Oryctolagus cuniculus: one gene and its partners. The main gene of each other region encodes a partner of the protein of the gene in region 3 in a complex. Links are inferred from orthologs where the notes say so. Each region holds a gene or a part of one and is shown on either strand. Other genes may lie near its edges.

What was found. The genes of interacting proteins can lie anywhere in the genome.
Region 1: INTS6 (region 3) and INTS7 share a complex: the UniProt entries of both Homo sapiens proteins name them as parts of the integrator complex. The link is inferred for Oryctolagus cuniculus from reciprocal best matches to the Homo sapiens genes INTS6 and INTS7.
Region 2: INTS6 (region 3) and INTS12 share a complex: the UniProt entries of both Homo sapiens proteins name them as parts of the integrator complex. The link is inferred for Oryctolagus cuniculus from reciprocal best matches to the Homo sapiens genes INTS6 and INTS12.

The regions. Positions count from the first base shown.
Region 1 is NC_091444.1:26,468,478-26,474,548, forward strand, and holds part of INTS7 (integrator complex subunit 7), read right to left. Parts: intron 4,957-6,071; coding exon 4,858-4,956; intron 3,178-4,857; coding exon 2,992-3,177; intron 1-2,991. UniProt on the Homo sapiens protein: Component of the integrator complex, a multiprotein complex that terminates RNA polymerase II (Pol II) transcription in the promoter-proximal region of genes.
Region 2 is NC_091439.1:59,480,789-59,486,859, reverse strand, and holds part of INTS12 (integrator complex subunit 12), read right to left. Parts: intron 3,144-6,071; coding exon 2,991-3,143; intron 1,824-2,990; coding exon 1,636-1,823; intron 317-1,635; coding exon 157-316; intron 1-156. UniProt on the Homo sapiens protein: Component of the integrator complex, a multiprotein complex that terminates RNA polymerase II (Pol II) transcription in the promoter-proximal region of genes.
Region 3 is NC_091440.1:70,752,254-70,758,324, reverse strand, and holds part of INTS6 (integrator complex subunit 6), read left to right. Parts: intron 1-65; coding exon of another isoform or gene 66-115; exon of another isoform or gene 116-208; intron 209-2,536; coding exon 2,537-2,911; intron 2,912-3,875; coding exon 3,876-3,969; intron 3,970-5,822; coding exon 5,823-5,916; 3' UTR 5,917-5,965; exon of another isoform or gene 5,966-6,071. UniProt on the Homo sapiens protein: Component of the integrator complex, a multiprotein complex that terminates RNA polymerase II (Pol II) transcription in the promoter-proximal region of genes.

The sequences.
Region 1 (6,071 bases), on a different chromosome or scaffold from region 3:
AATTTTAAGTTAGGTTTTCCCCCAGTCTGCTTTTACGTTATTTAAGTAGTGCTGATTCCTGACTCCTCTGACAAGTCAGCTTTACAACTGCACACTGCTAACTTAACAATCAGTATCCCACTCAGATCAGCCGTGTGATACGTTATAAAATACAGGCTTATGAGCTCATTCATTTATTTAGCCAGACACTCAAACGCCTCTGTCCTTCAAAGAACAGAAGGAAACTTGCTCGTGTCTCTTTATCTGTATCTATGAGGCAGACTTATTCTGAGGATACACATGAAGGTAACCTTAATGGATATTTGACTAGATTTCTCTCTCTCTCTTTTTTTTTTTTTTTTTTGACAGGCAGAGTGGACAGTGAGAGAGAGAGACAGAGAGAAAGGTCTTCCTTTTTGCCGTTGGTTCACCCTCCAATGGCTGCCACGGCTGGTGCACTGCAGCCGGCGCACCGCGCTGATCCGAAGGCAGGAGCCAGGTGCTTCTCCTGGTCTCCCATGGGGTGCAGGGCCCAAGCACTTGGGCCATCCTCCACTGCCTTCCCGGGCCACAGCAGAGAGCTGGCCTGGAAGAGGGGCAACCGGGAAAGAATCCGGCGCCCTGACCGGGACTAGAACCTGGTGTGCCGGCGCCGCTAGGTGGAGGATTAGCCTATTGAGCCGCGGTGCCGGCTAGATTTCTCTCTTTATGTGTAATTTTCTGTAGTGTCATTTGACAAATGTGCCCTGCAATTTTATGTCTCAATGAGCAGTTATCATATGATCAGTTTTCCAGGGACATTTATATGTAACATTAATGAACTGAAGTCTGGGGCCGGCACGGTGGTGTAGCGGGTAAAGCCACCACCTGCAGTGCCAGCATCCCATATGGGAGCTGGTTGGAGTCCCAGCTATTCCACTTCCGTTCCAGTTCTCTGCTGTGGCCTGGGAAAGCAGTAGAAGATGACTCAAGTCCTTGGGCCCCTGCACCCGCGTGGGAGACCTGGAAGAAGCTCCAGGCTCCTGGCTTCGGTATGGCGCAGCTCGGACCACTGTGGTCAATTGTGGGGAGTGAACCGGCGGATGGAAGACCTCTCTCTCTCTCTCTCTCTCTCTCTGCCTCTCCTTCTCTCTGTAACTCTTTCAAATAAATAAATAAATCATTAAAAAAAAATGAACTGAAGTCAACCAATTCAAGATCTTAGTATTATGTATAATCTAAGTACTCTCCCTTCCCCCGCATTCAGTTTTTGTAGCTTTTATTTCCTTACAACATATGCCTACTAGAGAATCATTTCCTCCAAAGCACTGGAAGTAGTCCCAGCTGGGTGAGTGCTCGGGCTCGTGGGTAAGGTGCCCAGGCCCCGCACAGAGTGCCTGGCCTAGAGACCTGGGTCTAGATCCCGATTCCAGCCTCCTGCCAGTGTAAAGACCCTGGGAGGCAGCAGCTGAGGGCTCAGGTAGCTGAGTCCCTGGCACCCACATGGGAGACCTGGATTGAGTTCTGGCTCCTGGCTCAGGCAGGGCTGGCCATTCATGTATATGGGGAATGAACCAGGGCCTAGGGGTCCACTCTCTTGAATAAAAACAAATAAACAAAGGAAAAAAAAAAAAACCAAAAACCAAGCAGGCCCAAGCAACCTGATCACTTGAATGGATGGCTGCATTTTAAATTATAAACTCAGGACAATTACCATGGCCCAGTAATCACGCACCGCATGGCCGACTCTACCAGCTTCCTTACTTAATCAGTGCCTCTGAGAGGTGAGTCAACAACAGATCAGTGCTTCTAGGTCTAAATCTTTCCTTAACAGTAAAAAATTACTGCGTACAAGGAAGAAAGAGAATCCTGGTTACTGCTGTTTCAAATTCAAAGCGAGGAGAGAGCTGCAGAAGGGATAAATTAAATGTATAAATTATCTCTGCAACCTCCTGTGAGAGCCGAGATTACCCAACCATAACAGTGGTAATCTTCATACAGTAAGTGGTTTTTCCATCATTCACCAAATATTTGCTGGTGGCTATCTAAGGTCTAGGCAAAGAGGAAGAGCTCTAAGGCCGAAGTTTATCAGAGACCAGGCAAAGGGGCAGCTACCAAAGTCAATAAAGCGATGGACTAAGCCAGAGCTTCCCTTCGCTTTTGAAGCCGGCGACCACCACGCAAGGAAATGCTTTCCTTTTCTCTTCCCCAGAACCCGTTCCTTGCTGGGGACCCCAGTCAGACACGCCACCGTAAACCTGGACACAGCCAACCTGAGCATCTGAATTAACTGTGTCTGTTCCCTGCTCATTTACTGTGGATAAGTCACCGAGGAACTGGAAAGAAATGTCTCAAGAAAGGAACATTCGATATTTGGGCCACTGGTATTTCCACAGCTCTGGTGTAACCACCTGATTCTGGCTAGTACTTAACCTGCCTCACGACATCACGACTTCTCAAAGCAGCGTATTCCTAGGGTGACGGGTTATACCTTTAAGATCTCACCTTATTTGATCTCTGTATCCTAATGAGTCATCTGACCTATCTATGCAAGTGTAAAATTCCAAAAAAGGGAAAGTGGGCTAGGAGCCATTCATTCTTCATTCCTGTGGAGGGACCCTCCATGAGATTAACAGTACCAGCCTCTGGAGGCATGGGGCCAGTGAACCTCAAGCAACTCCTCGGGGCAGCAGGATACTCCCCCAGGCCGGGCCGTAGGTTTTTTTTTTGGGGGGGGGGGGGGGGCTTTCACGTACTGACCTCACAGGCACAAGGAAGCCCTTGCTGCCAGGCTCCAGTTCTAACGGTAAAAAACTTGTATTTTGATGTTTGTTGGCCTGGATGCTTTGTGTCTATCCACTGGCCTGGCAAGGGAAAAGAGAAGTGCTGCTGCTGATCAGCCTCCTCAAGGCCTGACGTTTCTGTCTACCTCATCCCTTCTGAGGCGCAATCTGCGTAACCAGGGAAAACAGAGGGAAATGTCCATCAATGAGCTGAAACATCTGCAGCGCGACTGCGGCTTTTCTGAGTTACCTTGTAGTCTTGTCCGGATTTACTCTGTAGCGTGGAGGAAACATTCAGACAGACAGACTGAATTTTGCGGAAGAGTCCTGGTTTAGATCCGTGCTGAACCACTCCCTCCACCTTTAGTGCCAGCTGCTGGTTGTTATGGACAGCAATGGGCTCCGCAGGGTTCCGGGGCGATGGCGACAGAGCAAGCTGGAATATCAACATTAAAATAAATGCCAACAACCAAGAGCAAGCTTCCTCCCAACAAGCATCTCTGTGGTAACCACTGGTTACAGATTAACATCCTGGCGCCCTTGACCCTCCCCTGATGGTCTGCCTGTGCTGGGACAGCAGGTAGATGTACCTTTAAAGCCAATCCCCACTGCCTCCTTTTTAACACAATTGTGTTTTTCATCCCAAACTGCTGTGTTTGGGGGTGACAGGATTAGAGAACAGAAATGGGGCCATACCCCACCGTTTGTGGGGGGGCATTTTTGTGAAAATGAGCCACTTCCAGTAGGCAAATACACCATGTAAATTTTCATCCAGCTTTCTGTTTGGTTTTAGGTAATTTGAAATACACAAATCCAAATGCAAAAGAACTTAAAATTCTAGGGCCGCTTACATAATTAAATCATCATGGTTTTTACAAAAAAAGTCAATTTTCAAACATGAGCCAAAGGACATTTTTAACTTATTAGAGTAGTTTTGCTTGAAAAATGTATTAAAGTCCCAAATACACTTCAATTACAGACAGCTCAAGTCTTGCTGAATGAAGAGATGGGAGAAACTTGAGTCACTGATAATGCTGCCGAGCCACTGTATAACCCACCCTGGACACCCCTGCCTTAGAGGCCTCCTATCTGCAGATATCTCATTATTCAGGGCATTTTGAAATAGACTACTCTGTTATTTGCAATCCAAAGCATTCTAATGAATCTGAAAGTTTGCTGAAGACATTAACAAACAAGGACAATTAGAAGACAAATTCTCCCCCTTTCCCAACAATTTTATTCTCTGAATGAAAAACAGATTTTGAATTTAGCATTTATATTTTGTGTAAATATTTCAAAATGCTAACTCTACTCATTGGCCAGCATTTAAAACTAGCTATTCAAAGGCAAAAATGCTTTTTTTGGAGTTAGGACTGGTGATGTTGACTGGACCATCTGATTTATTTCAGGTTGGGTCTTAATGGCCTGATACAGACATAGACTCAGCTCAGGATTTCTGAAGGGTACTTTGTAAAAACCATTAACTCGGAGCTTGCACTGTGGTGCAGTGGGTTAAGTCACCACCTGCAGTGCCAGAATCTCACCTGGGAGCCGGTTCAGGCCATGGCTTCACCATTTGTGAGCTAGCTCTCTGCTACGGCCTGGCAAAGCAGCAGAAGATGGTCCAAGTCCTTGGGCCTCTGCACCCATGTGGGAGACCTGGAAGAAGCTCCTGGCTCCTGGCTTTGGATTGGTGCAGCTCTGGCCACTGCAGCCAATTGGGGAGTGAACCAGTGGATGGAAGACCTCTCTCTCTCTCTCTCTCTGAGTTTCAAATAAATAAATCTTCAAGAAAAAAAAAAACACCAAAAACCAAAAACCAAAAAACCCAACCATTACTTCATTCCTCGCTACAGAAGACAAGGAACAGAGCTCCAATTACCCAGATGCCCGTTTCACTGCACTTGGCGCTGGCAGTTACAAAGGAAGAGGGTTTACCTTTGAAACCCCATTCCCTTCACCAAATCACTGGATAATGGGAGGACAGGCTTACAGCTGAAGGCTGTGTTTTCCTAAAGCCAAAGGTAAGGCACTGAACTACACCTACGTCCTACTCAGACCTCACAGGAGAGCTGGCTTTTCACCTGTATTAACCCTACTGTTCTGGAGATAGTACCTTGATGCTGGTAGACTGCAGTTTCTGGAAAAAGTATCTCTGAAATGAAAGGGGAACTTTCAGCAAAGCAATGATGGCATTGCACAGGCAGGCTGTGTGCTGGGGGGAAAAGAAATGGGATCACATGTGAATACATTTTCAACTGTCATCAACAAATGTGGTACATTCAAAAAGTTTAAAACTGCAAACACTTACAGATTATTTAAAAAGTAGATACCAACAAAGAAATCGGTACAGTCTCCAGGAATTGTGTACTGCTACTAAAGCATTCATTTCAAGGAGTTAAACAGACTTTTGAGTTACATTGCAGATTTTTACTTTATTTTGAAGTATATTCAATAGAAAAAGAATGACAGGAGAATGAGATTCCTTAAGGCCGCACATAAGGCAAAAATTCACATTTCTTTTTTTTAATTTTTATTTATTTTTATTTTTTTGACAGGCAGAGTGGACAGTGAGAGAGAGAGAGAGACAGAGAGAAAGGTCTTCCTTTTGCCATTGGTTCACCCTCCAATGGCCGCCGCGGCCGGCGCGCTGCGGCCGGCGCACCGCGCTGATCCGATGGCAGGAGCCAGGAGCCAGGAGCCAGGTGCTTTTCCTGGTCTCCCATGGGGTGCAGGGCCCAAGCACCTGGGCCATCCTCCACTGCACTCCCTGGCCACAGCAGAGAGCTGGCCTGGAAGAGGGGCAACCGGGACAGAATCCGGCACCCCAACCGGGACTAGAACCCGGTGTGCCGGCGCCGCTAGGCGGAGGATTAGCCTAGTGAGCCGTGGCGCCGGCCAAAAATTCACATTTCTTTAGAGTTTAGAGCTATCAGACATATTAGCCATATTTTTATTTATTTTCATTTTAAAGAGCAAGAAAGAGTAAGAAAGTGAGAGTCTCAGCCACTTGTCTCCCACAGCTATTTAAAATGCCTCAAAAGCTCCCCAGTTCCCCACATTAAGTGCAAGCTCCCCCTCCCCTGGCCTTACATCATGCTGCAGCAACAACACACTGCTCCCAGAAGACACCACGCCATGGCCAGCCTCTGCTGTCCGCTGTTTGCTGCCCGAGACTCCCCACCACTCCTGTCCCGAAAGCTCACCCGCAGAGCCGCTGTCGCTCTCGGAAGTCCTCCTCTCTGTTCTCCCTACCCTTTAGCATGAGTTACTTCATCCTTCTGGCTACATCTCTGCCTCGTGCAGAGCTCTGTGACTGCAAGTACACTG
Region 2 (6,071 bases), on a different chromosome or scaffold from region 3:
ATTTTTCATGAACTTTTTAGAGTTTTTACACACATTTAAATAATCTTAGGTTACATTGTGTATATTTTTAATATCATAAATGTTCAGATCTTGAAAGCTCATATTAGCAAAAGAGCAACAGAGAATGTTTAAAGTTGAGAAAAATTTGACTCCTACCATTCTTTTCATCTGTCTGGTACATCGCGCACAATACCACACCAGGCGAGGGTCATTCACTTCCTTGTCTGTTACCTGGGGTTTATGGCAGTCTTGGTGGTACAGATTATGGCATTCTTGACATTCGACTAATTGATTACCAGATGCTACTGTCATCTGCCTAAGAAGAATATACCACTGAACATTATACTTTCCTGAATGCAACAATTTAAGTCATTTCAGCTTTGTTCTAGTATGTAAATAAACAAAAGGAAAACCAAAGAGCAAAATAACAAATCCCAACATGCAGCCTGCACAAGTACTTCAGCTATTTTAAAGCTTACAATCAACCATTAATAAATATAAAAGATACCCAAATAAAAGTGGGTATATTCTCCCTGTCATATCACATTGTAATTTTTTTTCTTTCTTGACAAGTTCTTCAACAGTCTCAAATATACTTTCTTTGTAGTTCTATTCAGTTCCTTAATATTAGTTAGCTAAATGTTGCTCTCTCTTCTTCAACATGAACAACCTAAAATTGAGAACTAAACATAATCATCTATAGCCCAGCACATGACTGTGCAAACAGGTGCTTGATGAATGTTGACTGAACTGAATACAGCAAAATATGCATCAAAATAGCACAAAAAGCTATCACTATAGTCTTGGCTTTTCATAGTAAGAATGCTGATAGAGCATTACAGTTACTATTACTCTCCCCATTACTTTTAACATTTACTTATTTACAAAATAACTTTCAAGGTAGACAAAGGATGAATAAACAAATATATGTTGAAAGCAGAAGCACATAAACTCATTCTCTATAAGATTATATTTACTTAGTTCTTAAAATCAGAATTTAACATTTTTAAAAAGAAAACATCAACAAAGATGACAATCTTTTTATTGTGCTAAGTGTTTAAGGGCATTAACAACTAAAAACATAATCCTTAGCATCAAGGAGCTTAAAATTTATTTTTGTAAATGTATTTTGTACTAAGCAGAATTATCTGTTTTTACACTTTTGCAGCTATATTATAAAACACCACTCAGAATAACCCATATGATCCATTCCTTTCATTTCCACTATCCTTAGGAAAATACTTAAGGATGCTTTAGAAAATGATATGTACCAGAGCATTTTTTATGCTATCAATTCAGAAAAAATAATTAAAAAAAAAGAGTCTGGTGAACAGAGTCTATTTCAAAAGAATAATGAAAAATCACTTTCCCCCTAGAACTCAAGAATGAAGAAATTATTACTACATGAATAAGTCAAGTCATAGTCAGGAGGATAAAATTGTTGATAATTTTCAAGATGTTAAATTGCTTTAAGAGTTGTTCATTAGGCATAATCTACTTATATATTCTCAATCCTTGAATAATAAAAACAAAATAGAACACTTCAACAATTGTTCTCATTTGGGAGAGAATGAAGGGGGAGGTGGTTGTTAAACAATCTGTATTAAGGTATGACTTACCTACCATGCGACTTACCTGCAAACAACACAGGCCAGTCCCATCTCCATAGCAAAATCATCAGCACTGGTCTCTTCAAAACTGGAAAGGTCAGCTATAGCTAAATCCTTGCTGGTTTGGACAGTAATGGGAGAGGACCGTGTCTCGGATTTCTCTAGTCTAGGTTTCTTTGGAATATCAGCTCCTTCAGTAACATCTGATTTTATCTATAAAAAGTACCAATCAGAAAATGATAATAAAAGTAATATATAATAAATTTGAAATCACTGAGAGATGTTTATAGCGTGTTATGATTAATTCCATTTTGCAGACATTTTGACTTAATTAGGGACAGATTTATACACTAGACTGTGGAAGAATTATAATTAAGAGTTCAACAGACTTACATTGCATATATTTTTGCCTATTACAATGCTTTGAATTCAGAAACCATAGCAACAATAAGGCTGTTTTCAATTTTAAATTATGGACTACTAATATTAAAGATATATTAAAAAAAGTAAATAATAAGCTATCTACTAGTCATCCAGACTAAACTATTAATGTGTTCACAAAGAGCTATGTATATAAAAAGTAGCTCATAGAAGCTCCTCATAATAGAGAAAGGAGAAATAACCTAACTGCTCATCAGCAGGGGAACACAAAAACTGGTTTATTCATAGAATGAATATTATATAGTACCTAACATAAGTATCCAGATCTATATACACCACCTTAGACAATTTTCAAAAGTACATTTCGAGGACATGAAAATTTACCAAAGGATATATATGCAGAGTACCTATCCCATAAATTCAAAAGCAGAGAAAATAGTATATGTTTATTAATGTTACTATTTATTAAAAGTAAGAAAATGTAAGAGATAATATACCACATGTTGAGGGGAAGGGTTACTAAAGATATACTTAAATGTATTTTTAATTAATTGTTATAATCTTAATTACTATTTACAGGAATCATCCAAAATAGAGAATCCAAGAATTATCCATCACCTCTTAAGGTTCAGACCATCCTATAACAGAATTCATGGTTAGTCATTTACATCTTTCCTCTTTCCTCTCTCTGTTTTTTTCTCAACAACTATTACATCTGGAAGCACTGCATTAAGGATTAAAGTTTACAGTTAGAGTTTATACTCAAACTATTATATCTCCTGAGGCTCAAATATTTAGTTTTAAAAATGTTTTTAACTTTTACTCATTTTTCAAAAGGTCTACATCTACAGCCATCAGATTACATCTACTGAGTGATTATTATGTATCTACACTCACTGTTATACAAATTAGAAGTAGGCATAAAACATTGTTTCTTGTCATCTATGCAACAAATGATTTACTTTTTTCTTTTTAAATTACATCAAAACAAAATCTTACTTTATCAGCAGGTCTCTTTTCAGCTTCCTTCTTTACCTTTTCAGTTGTGAGGACCTTGCCATTATTATTGCCTGAAGGAAGACTGGATGATGTTTTGGGCTCTTGCTTAATAGAAATAGCTTTTGTGCTTGAAATTTTGGGTGGCTCCACATCCTAAAAGGTAAAATAAAAAGATACTCAAAAATTAAATACTCAGGTTGCTTAATGCATTAAAAATTCATAAATCTAAGTAATTTTCATCTAAATGTTATGACCAATATTTTAAATAACATTGAGAAAATAACTTGAGAAATTGATATACAAACTGAACATACTTAAACTAGAAAATTTAAGTTTTGACATTTGTATAAACCATGACTCTATCACTATTTTCAATATAATGAACATATCATATCCAAAATCTCTTTGTGTTCCTTTGTAATCACTCTCTTATAGGACTATATCCTGAGAAACCATACCCCATTCTTAGGCAACAACTGATCTGCCTTCTGGAGCTACAGTTTATGTTGTACTTTCTAGAAATTAATTTAACTTACTGTATGTACTCTTTTTTGTATGGCTGCTTATATTTAGCATATATATTTTGAATTCATTCATGTTGTTGAGTGTGTAGATTCATTTCTTCTTTTTAAAAGAATGTATAAAATTCATCAAGAAGTCTCTATTTATTTATTTATTATTTTATTTGAGAAGTAGAGTTACAGATAGAGAGGATGAGACACAGAGATGTCTTCCATCTGGTAGTTCACTTTCCAAATGGCTACAACAGTCGGAGCTGGGCCGATCTGAAGCCAGGAGCTTCATCCGGGTCTCCCACGTGGGTGCAGGGGCCCAAGCACTTGGGCCACCTCCACTGCTTTCCCAGGCACATTAGCAGGGAGTTGGATCAGAAGTGAAGCAGCTGGGACTCAAATCAGCATGTATATGGGATGCTGGTGCCACAGGTGGAGGCATAACCTACTATGCCACAGAGCCCACCCTGTCATTTCTTTTTAATGCTGTGGGATATAACACAATCTGTTTGTCCACTTACCTACTGATGAACATTGTTTGTACTTTGGGGCTACTGCTAATAAAGCTGTTACATACTTTCATGTACATGTATGGACATGTACTTTCACTGCTCTAGAGTAAATTTCTAGGAGTGGAATGGTCATATGGTTAGTGTATGCTTAATTATTTAAGAAACTGCCAAACTGTTCAAAAGTGGCTGTACCATTTTTCATTTCCACCAGGAAGATACGAATGTTACTTAGAATGGTTAGTCTTTTTAATTTTGAACATTCTAATAAGTATATAGCAGTATTTCCTTATGGATTTAATTCACATTTCCCTAAAAGCTAATGATGTTAAACATTTGGTCAAAAATTTTTTCCATTTAAAAAAATGAGGTTGTTTTCTTTTTCAGATTAAAGAGTTCTTCACAAGACCTTTGTTGATACGTGACATGCAACTGTTTTCTTTCAGCCTATGGACTTTTTATTCTGGCTTAAACTTAAAATTCTTACTATCATATTATCAAGGTTTTGCTGATATAGTTGTCATTTATTGTTGTTAACGGTATAAAAAGTTGATGTATATCATGCTCCTCAGAATCACCCCCAGATCTGCCAAGTAAACCTGGAATAGGAAATGCAGTCTATTTTCTGTGATAATACATAAAAGTATAAATGGAATGATATACATCAACTTCAGAATAGTAGTTACCTCTGTGGAAGAAGGGAAGGGGAGTGGGTTTCAGATCCACTGATAGCAGGGTGTGATTTAATGTTGTGCTGATTGTTTAGACCATTGTTAGTAAACTGAAACTCACAGGCCAAATCTGGCTTGCTACTTATAGCTATACTGGAACACAGCTGCAGTCATCCATTTATGTAGTATAAGAAGCTGCATTCATGCTACCATGGCAGAACTAGTTTCACCAGAGACCATCAGGACCACAAAACCTAAAATTCACTATTTGTTTCTTCATAGAAAGACTGTAGACTAAGGAAACTAATAGAGAAAATGTTAAAGCATGTCAAACTTAAAAAGTTAATCATGTATGTAACATAAAAAATTGAGGACATAATCCTGCAGCATTTGAGAAATATTATGTAATTAAGCAAAGAAGTTGCTCAAGTCATTGGTGGGTGAGTTTAAGTTCCAACTTCATTGTTCACATTTGCCTTCTCATTTATATAGAGTATCAACCAATATTTATGTTAAAATTACATTCACAAAGCTGGTTATTAATGTTTACAAGCATACTACTGTCTCCAGGTGATTCTTAGGCATGCTGAAGCTTCAATCACTCTTCTCACACAAGTTATGTTGGAAATGTTTGGATGAAAGTTAAAATTAAATTAACTTGTGCTTTTAAAATACTTATTTTCTCTAGCAGGAGAAGTGAATTCCAGTTAGCAATCTAGGGGCAGCAGGCTTTTTAATCACAACAAATTTTTGATGTGCTTTAACAGATGAACTTCCATTTTAGAATCTCACTTTATTTGGTAATAGATTTTTCCTATTTGGATAATACCAACACACAGAGCAGGATGAACTTGGTAGTGTGTTTTGTAGATCTGTACTAATGTGATACACCTTAATTTATTGACCCTACCAGAATGAGAATGAGTAGAAAAAACTGAGAGTACAATGTTTCTACTATTCAAAAGACAAAAAGGCTTGAGAGTACTAGAGTTACTGTTGAAAAAAAGACTAGAAAAAAACATGAATGTTTACTTGGGTGCTAAGTATGAAACCTGACCCTGTCTTGAGCATCAGATTCTAAACAGACTTGAAGTAGTCGGGTAGTTCTATATTCCTCTTCTCAGCTTGGTTTCTAGGCCCACAGACCTAGGTCACTTGGAGTTACAGGGCTAGGGTATAGAGATTTGAAAGAATACTTAGTAAGTATTAGAGAATAAGTATTGTCATTTATAGCAGCATATTATATACCAGGTAGATACTAGTCTAGGTGACTTACAGTATTTCTCTTAATTTTGTGTAAAATGGGATTTCAAATAGGTTTGTCTGGCTCCAACTGTGCATTCTTTTCATATAAAGCTACCAATGGCTGCTTTGTTATTATCAAGATTG
Region 3 (6,071 bases):
TTAGTAGGGGGAATAGAGGAAGTTCCTGGACTACAACTTTGCTTTGCTTTTCTTCTCTGATATAGAAGATAAACTGCTGAGAGGGAAAGGGAGTCAAAGTGAAAGTCAGATTTGAAGCGGATGGTGGAAGTTTGAATAATCTTTGCAGAAGGGGAAGAAAAGATTGCTGGTCAGTGCCGAGCACTTGCAGACTGATAGTGACTGTGACCACTCTGGAGCAGGGTCCTGTTTCTCCGTCAGTGCTTACCATTCCTGAATGCAGGTTGGAAGGAGGTACATAATGAGTCATGAAGCTTGAGGTTTTGCCTAGCATGTGTCCTAGGAGGACTATGGAACAAGAGAAGTAAAGACATTGATAATAGTGATGTATCATGAGAGATAGGCCTGGCTGGTAAGCCACTGTCTAGAACAGCTCTAATTAAAAGGAGGGAGAAAGTAGAGGAGTGGCTGAGCTAGAGAACCGTAGCCAGGGCCCTTCAAAGATGAGGGCTGTGCTCCTGCATCCCTGAATGTGAATTGGTTGGGTGGGGAGGCAGCTCTTTGGAGTTAAGAAATTGGGGGGCCGGCACTGGCTCACTTGGCTAATCCTCCGCTTGCGGTGCTGGCACCCCGGGTTCTAGTCCCAGTTGGGGCGCCGGATTCTGTCCCGGTTGCCACTCTTCCAGTCCAGCTCTCTGCTGTGGCCAGGGAGGGCAGTGGAGGATGGCCTACGTCCTTGGGCCCTGCACCCACATGGGAGACCAGGAGGAAGCACATGGCTTCAGATCAGCACAGCGTCGGCTGTAGTGGCCATTTGGGGGGTGAACCAACGGAAGGAAGACCTTTCTCTCTGTCTCTCTCTCTCACTAACTCTGCCTGTCAAAAAAAAAAAAAAAAAAAAAATCAGGGAATGGGAGGCCAGATTCTTGGCATGTGATCTGCTTAGACACTGGTCACCACAGCACTTCTCACACTTTAATGTTCATGTGAACCATCTGGGGGTCTAGTTAAATTGCAGGTGCTTGTTCCTTCAGTCTGAGATGGCGCTCAGTGCCAATGCTGCTTGTCTATAGACCACACTTTGAGTAGTAAGGATCTGTTGTCAGGAGGGACTTGGGGATAAGAAGAAGGCTGTGAACCAGATGCCAAAGACATCACTGGCTCCAAGAATGTGCCCTGAAGTTATAGGGTAGTAATGAGGAGAGAGAGGATGAGTGGCATCATTGAGCCTCAAAGGAGCAAGAATTTTTACATGAGTGCCCGAAGAAATCTTGAAAGGACATGGGGAGGCAAAAGAATCTGTGACCCCATGTGGAGATTTTAAGCACGTGAAGAGTGTGTGAGGGAGAGCAGTTTTTACTGCTGGTCTGAAAAGGAGTGCAGTTTCTTTACAGGAGCACTGAGTCTCAAAGTGTAAAATATTGTAGAGAATATCCAGTAAAGAGGAGTTAGTCAGGCACAAAATTGGATTTAGGTGTTCAGGGGATTGTGGGGCTGAGTACAGGGAAGTGTGAGTAAACCAGGAATTGACATTTGGAGATAGTGTAAGGAGGACAGCAGAGACGAATTCAGCTTTGGTCCTTGAGGACTTGGAATTCAGCTGCTTTTCTGGGGACCAAGTATAATAACCTGGTGTTAACTGGTAACTTTGCAAGTGTGTGGGTGCAATGGTCTAATGAAGTAGACAGCAAGTGGCTCTGCACTGTTCAATTCTTGAGGACTGGCTGGCTGGTCAGAAGGAATGGTATACTGAGAAACGTGACCTGTTCGGTAGTATGTTCTCTGCAAAGTTGGGAAGAGCGAAAACCGTTCAATGTTTTACTTTTGCCTCTAACTGGTAACAGATGTAATAGATCATCAGAATGAGCTGAAGCTCTCTAAGATAAAGATGACCATGATAATTTACATCACATGTATTTACTGAAGTGTTAAAAATCTTCTTCAGGGCTGGCGCTGCGGCTCACTAGGCTAATCTTCCGCCTTGTGGTGCCGGCACACCGGGTTCTAGTCCCGGTCGGGGCCCCGGATTCTGTCCCGGTTGCCCCTCTTCCAGGCCAGCTCTCTGCTGTGGCCCGGGAGTGCAGTGGAGGATGGCCCAAGTGCTTGGGCCCTGCACCCCCTGGGAAACCAGGAGAAGCACCTGGCTCCTGCCATTGGATCAGTGTGGTGCGCTGGCTGCGGCGGCCATTGGAGGGTGAACCAATGGCAAAAGGAAGACCTTTCTCTCTGTCTCTCTCTCTCACTGTCCACTCTGCCTGTCAAAAAAAATAAAAAAAATTTAAAAAAAATCTTCTTCAATAAAACTGTCGAATAAAACAGAGGACTAAAATCTAGTTAGAATTGGCTTTTTGATTTGTTTTTTTTTTCTAAGAAAAGTGTACAGATTTAGTGAATATTGTGAATGTTGCACATTGAAGTCCACCATATCTTTGACAAAGCTTCAGAACCAGATCTCATCATTTGTTAATTTACCTTAGTCAAAGATAGAAGTTGTGATTGACTTTCTTTACCATGTGCTTTCAAATTGGCTCTCAGCATTTTTCTCCTTTGTTTTTAGTTTCAGAAACCACTAATGATTCAACAATAGATGATGTGATTGAAAATCATGTTGCAGACCAACTTTCATCAGATGTTACACCAAATGCTATGGATACTGAATTTTCAACATCATCTTCTCCAGCCAATTTACTGGAACGACCAACCAATCATACAGAGGCTCTTGGTCATGATCATTTAGGAACTAATGACCTCAGTGTTGGTGGATTTTTAGAAAATCATGAGGAACCAAGAGATAAAGAACAGTGTGCTGAGGAGAACATACCAGCATCTTCACTCAACAAAGGAAAGAAATTGATGCATTGCAGAAGCCATGAAGAGGTCAACACTGAACTAAAAGCACAAATAATGAAAGAGATCCGAAAACCAGGAAGAAGTATGTATAATTGGCCAAACCTCAGATTTGATTTCTATATGTGCTCAGAAAACAGATTGAATTACTGAAAGCATACACCATGGTCTTGAGCAGTATTTAAACCATTTAAGATTGATTCTTTGTTCATTCGGCAAACACTTACTATCTGCAATGTCCAGGGTACTACATATGATAGAAGTTAATGTCATGGAAGCTAAAGGATTATGGAATTGAGTGAGTTAGGATTAGTAAGAACTGAGAGCTGAAGAAAACTATAGATGGGTTGTGTGTGGGGTTCCTACCATGACAGGAACCCATAGTATTTTAACCTGCCAACCCCAAAAATTATAGTATTAAATGACTTCATGTCTATATTGTTTACAGAATGTACGTTGTGTTTCAGATTTAAACTATGATAGTGACCAACAATATCCTTAAGCCAAAAAGCTAAATTATATTAGTACAGAAGTACTTCATGGTAATCAAATTCGATATTATTTGGATTCATTCAGAAGATGTTAATAGATCACTTGCTCTGATAGTGCAAAAATGACCTGTAGTGGTCCAGAAGTGGGTAAGACTCAGAGAACTTGGCATTTAGGAGTGTATAAGTCCTTGGCAGGGTTGTGTGTGAAAACCTGAAACTGAAGTAGCGTTCTTATACTGTTTGGGGTTTTTGTTTCTGAAAAGGCCACTTGCCTTTTTCTTGTCAGTGGTACTACCAAAAAAGCCGTGTAACTCATTCTTCTAAGCTTTATGTTTGATACCTTCATGGGAACTTTTACCCAAAAAAGCATTGCTTAACAAGTTGTTTTATCTTTGTTGACACATACTTTTCTCACAAGTCTATGTTAAAATGTATTGTAAAACGGAGTAGTGAAATTTTTATGTAGAATGTTTTGTTTCATTGTATCTTTTTGTTTGTTCCAGTATATGTTAATGCTGAAAGGCATTTAATTTTTCTTTTTGCTTCTCTTGTTTTAAGAATATGAAAGAATCTTCACTTTACTGAAGCATGTGCAAGGCAGTTTACAAACAAGACTAATATTTTTACAAAATGTCATTAAGGAAGCATCAAGGTAAACAGATTATTTTATACAATATGAATTGGTGATGAAATGGGTCCCCAGTTTATACTTATAGAAAATATTTTACTAGTACCCATCATGCATTTGTGTTTATGCATGTTTATGACACAAATACATAGGAGAACTTTTTTCTGTTTACTGAAATCAGTTCACTTAAAAAGTAGATACACAAATCCTTCAAGAATTATGAACCTTTTCTCCATGCAAATTATTAGTTTTTTTTCATAATTCTTATTTAACCTCTTTAGCTTTTTGGTGTCTTCATATTTTATAGGCCTTAATTTTTCTCTTTTATATGTCAATCAGTAATTAGAAGTAACTTAGGAAGACAGTATTTGAATACAGTTCATTTTTGCATGGGAAGACATTTTTAAACAAAAAAGGATTTATTTATCTGAAAGGCAGAGTTAGAGAGAGAGATATCTTCCATCCACTGGTTCACTCCCCAAATGGCCACAATGGCTAGAGCTGGGCCAATCCAAATCCAGGAACCAGGAATTTCTTCCGGGTCTCCCAAATGGATGCAGGGTCCCAAGGATTTGGGTCATCTCCCACTGCACTCCCAGGCACATCAGCGGGGAGCTGGATAGGAAGAAGAACAGCTGGGACTCAAACCGATATCAATATGGGATTTCAGTGCTGCAGACAGTGGCTTTACCTGCTATGCCGCAGTTTTGGCCCTAGGAAGACATGTTATTAAGGGGACCAGAGTTGGACAGATGGACCTTAATCTGATTGTTTCAGTAGCCCAGGACTATGGACAAGGAATGTGGATCAAAATTATAAATGTAACTACAAAGTATAGTTAATTGGAAAGCATACTTGTATGAGTTTACACACATTTTTAGTGTTTCCTTCTAGACCTTGAGAATTTTAATATTAGAAGATTTATGGTTTATCTCATCTGACTTTCAAATATAAACATACTCATGTTTTGATTAATCTTCCATCTCTTTATTGCTACATGTAAAGGATTTAGATAAAGCAATTTTTTTTTTCCTGGAGTGGCTAGAGCATAAACTACTTTGAAAGATCAAGATAAGACCATAACTTTTCTATACAATTTTAGCAAATTAGCTTTCTCTGCTTTTCGTGGTGATGTTCTGTTGAATGAAGCCTCATAGATTCAGTTCTATTCCTGGTACCTCTACTATGCTTCTGCCACTTTCAGGGAGCAGTATAATATTATGGCGACTTTATATTAGTTACAGGAAGAGAGGAAATAGAGTAGAATTTAGTTTTTTTGATTAATATTCATGTAGAGGACTGTAATTGTAGTCTACTTATATTTATTGCTGAAAATTTTTAAAAAAAATTACTTTGTGAACATTAAGTGCTTGCTATACCCTCTGTAACATATGTCTAATTATTGATTTGCTGACTATTTAAATTATAATAATGGAACATTATGGTTTTTAAACATTACTGTCTTTTTTAATTTCTCCTTTTTTTTTGTGGAGAATTATACTTTCTTTGTATGCCTTTCAAAGAGTTTGAGAAGCTCTTGGAATAATTGCTTTGGGAATCCCAATTTTCCTAGAATATATCCAATCTACAGATGGTAGGATTTTTTTTCCTTTTCAAAAGTTGTAGAAGGGATAAACTCATTCCTGTTATTTCTGGGCTTAGACTATTTGTTTTAGGGATAATCTATCAAAAGTGTATTGATAAAAGAACATGCTAATCTTCCAACAGATTTTTATGTCATGGATTGTTGATTTTTTTGGTTTTCATTTCACTTTGAAAAATCTTCCAAAAACAGTTTTTTGCCCTTTTCTAAACATCATAACATGCCATTCATTAGAAAAGCAATTGAGAATGTTATTATTTATATTTTTATACAGGTTTAAAAAACGAATGCTAATAGAACAACTGGAGAACTTCTTGGATGAAATTCATCGAAGAGCTAATCAGATCAACCACATTAATAGCAATTAAAAGAAAATAGAATGTGGCCATTTATTTCACTGTCTTCTCCAAATACAAAGTAAATACAAGACTGTTGTGATCTTGCATTCATTTTTTTGACATGCATTGTTGGCTACTTGAAATACTAAGAGCAAGTCTACAGATCCTTTTTCCATCATTTTACA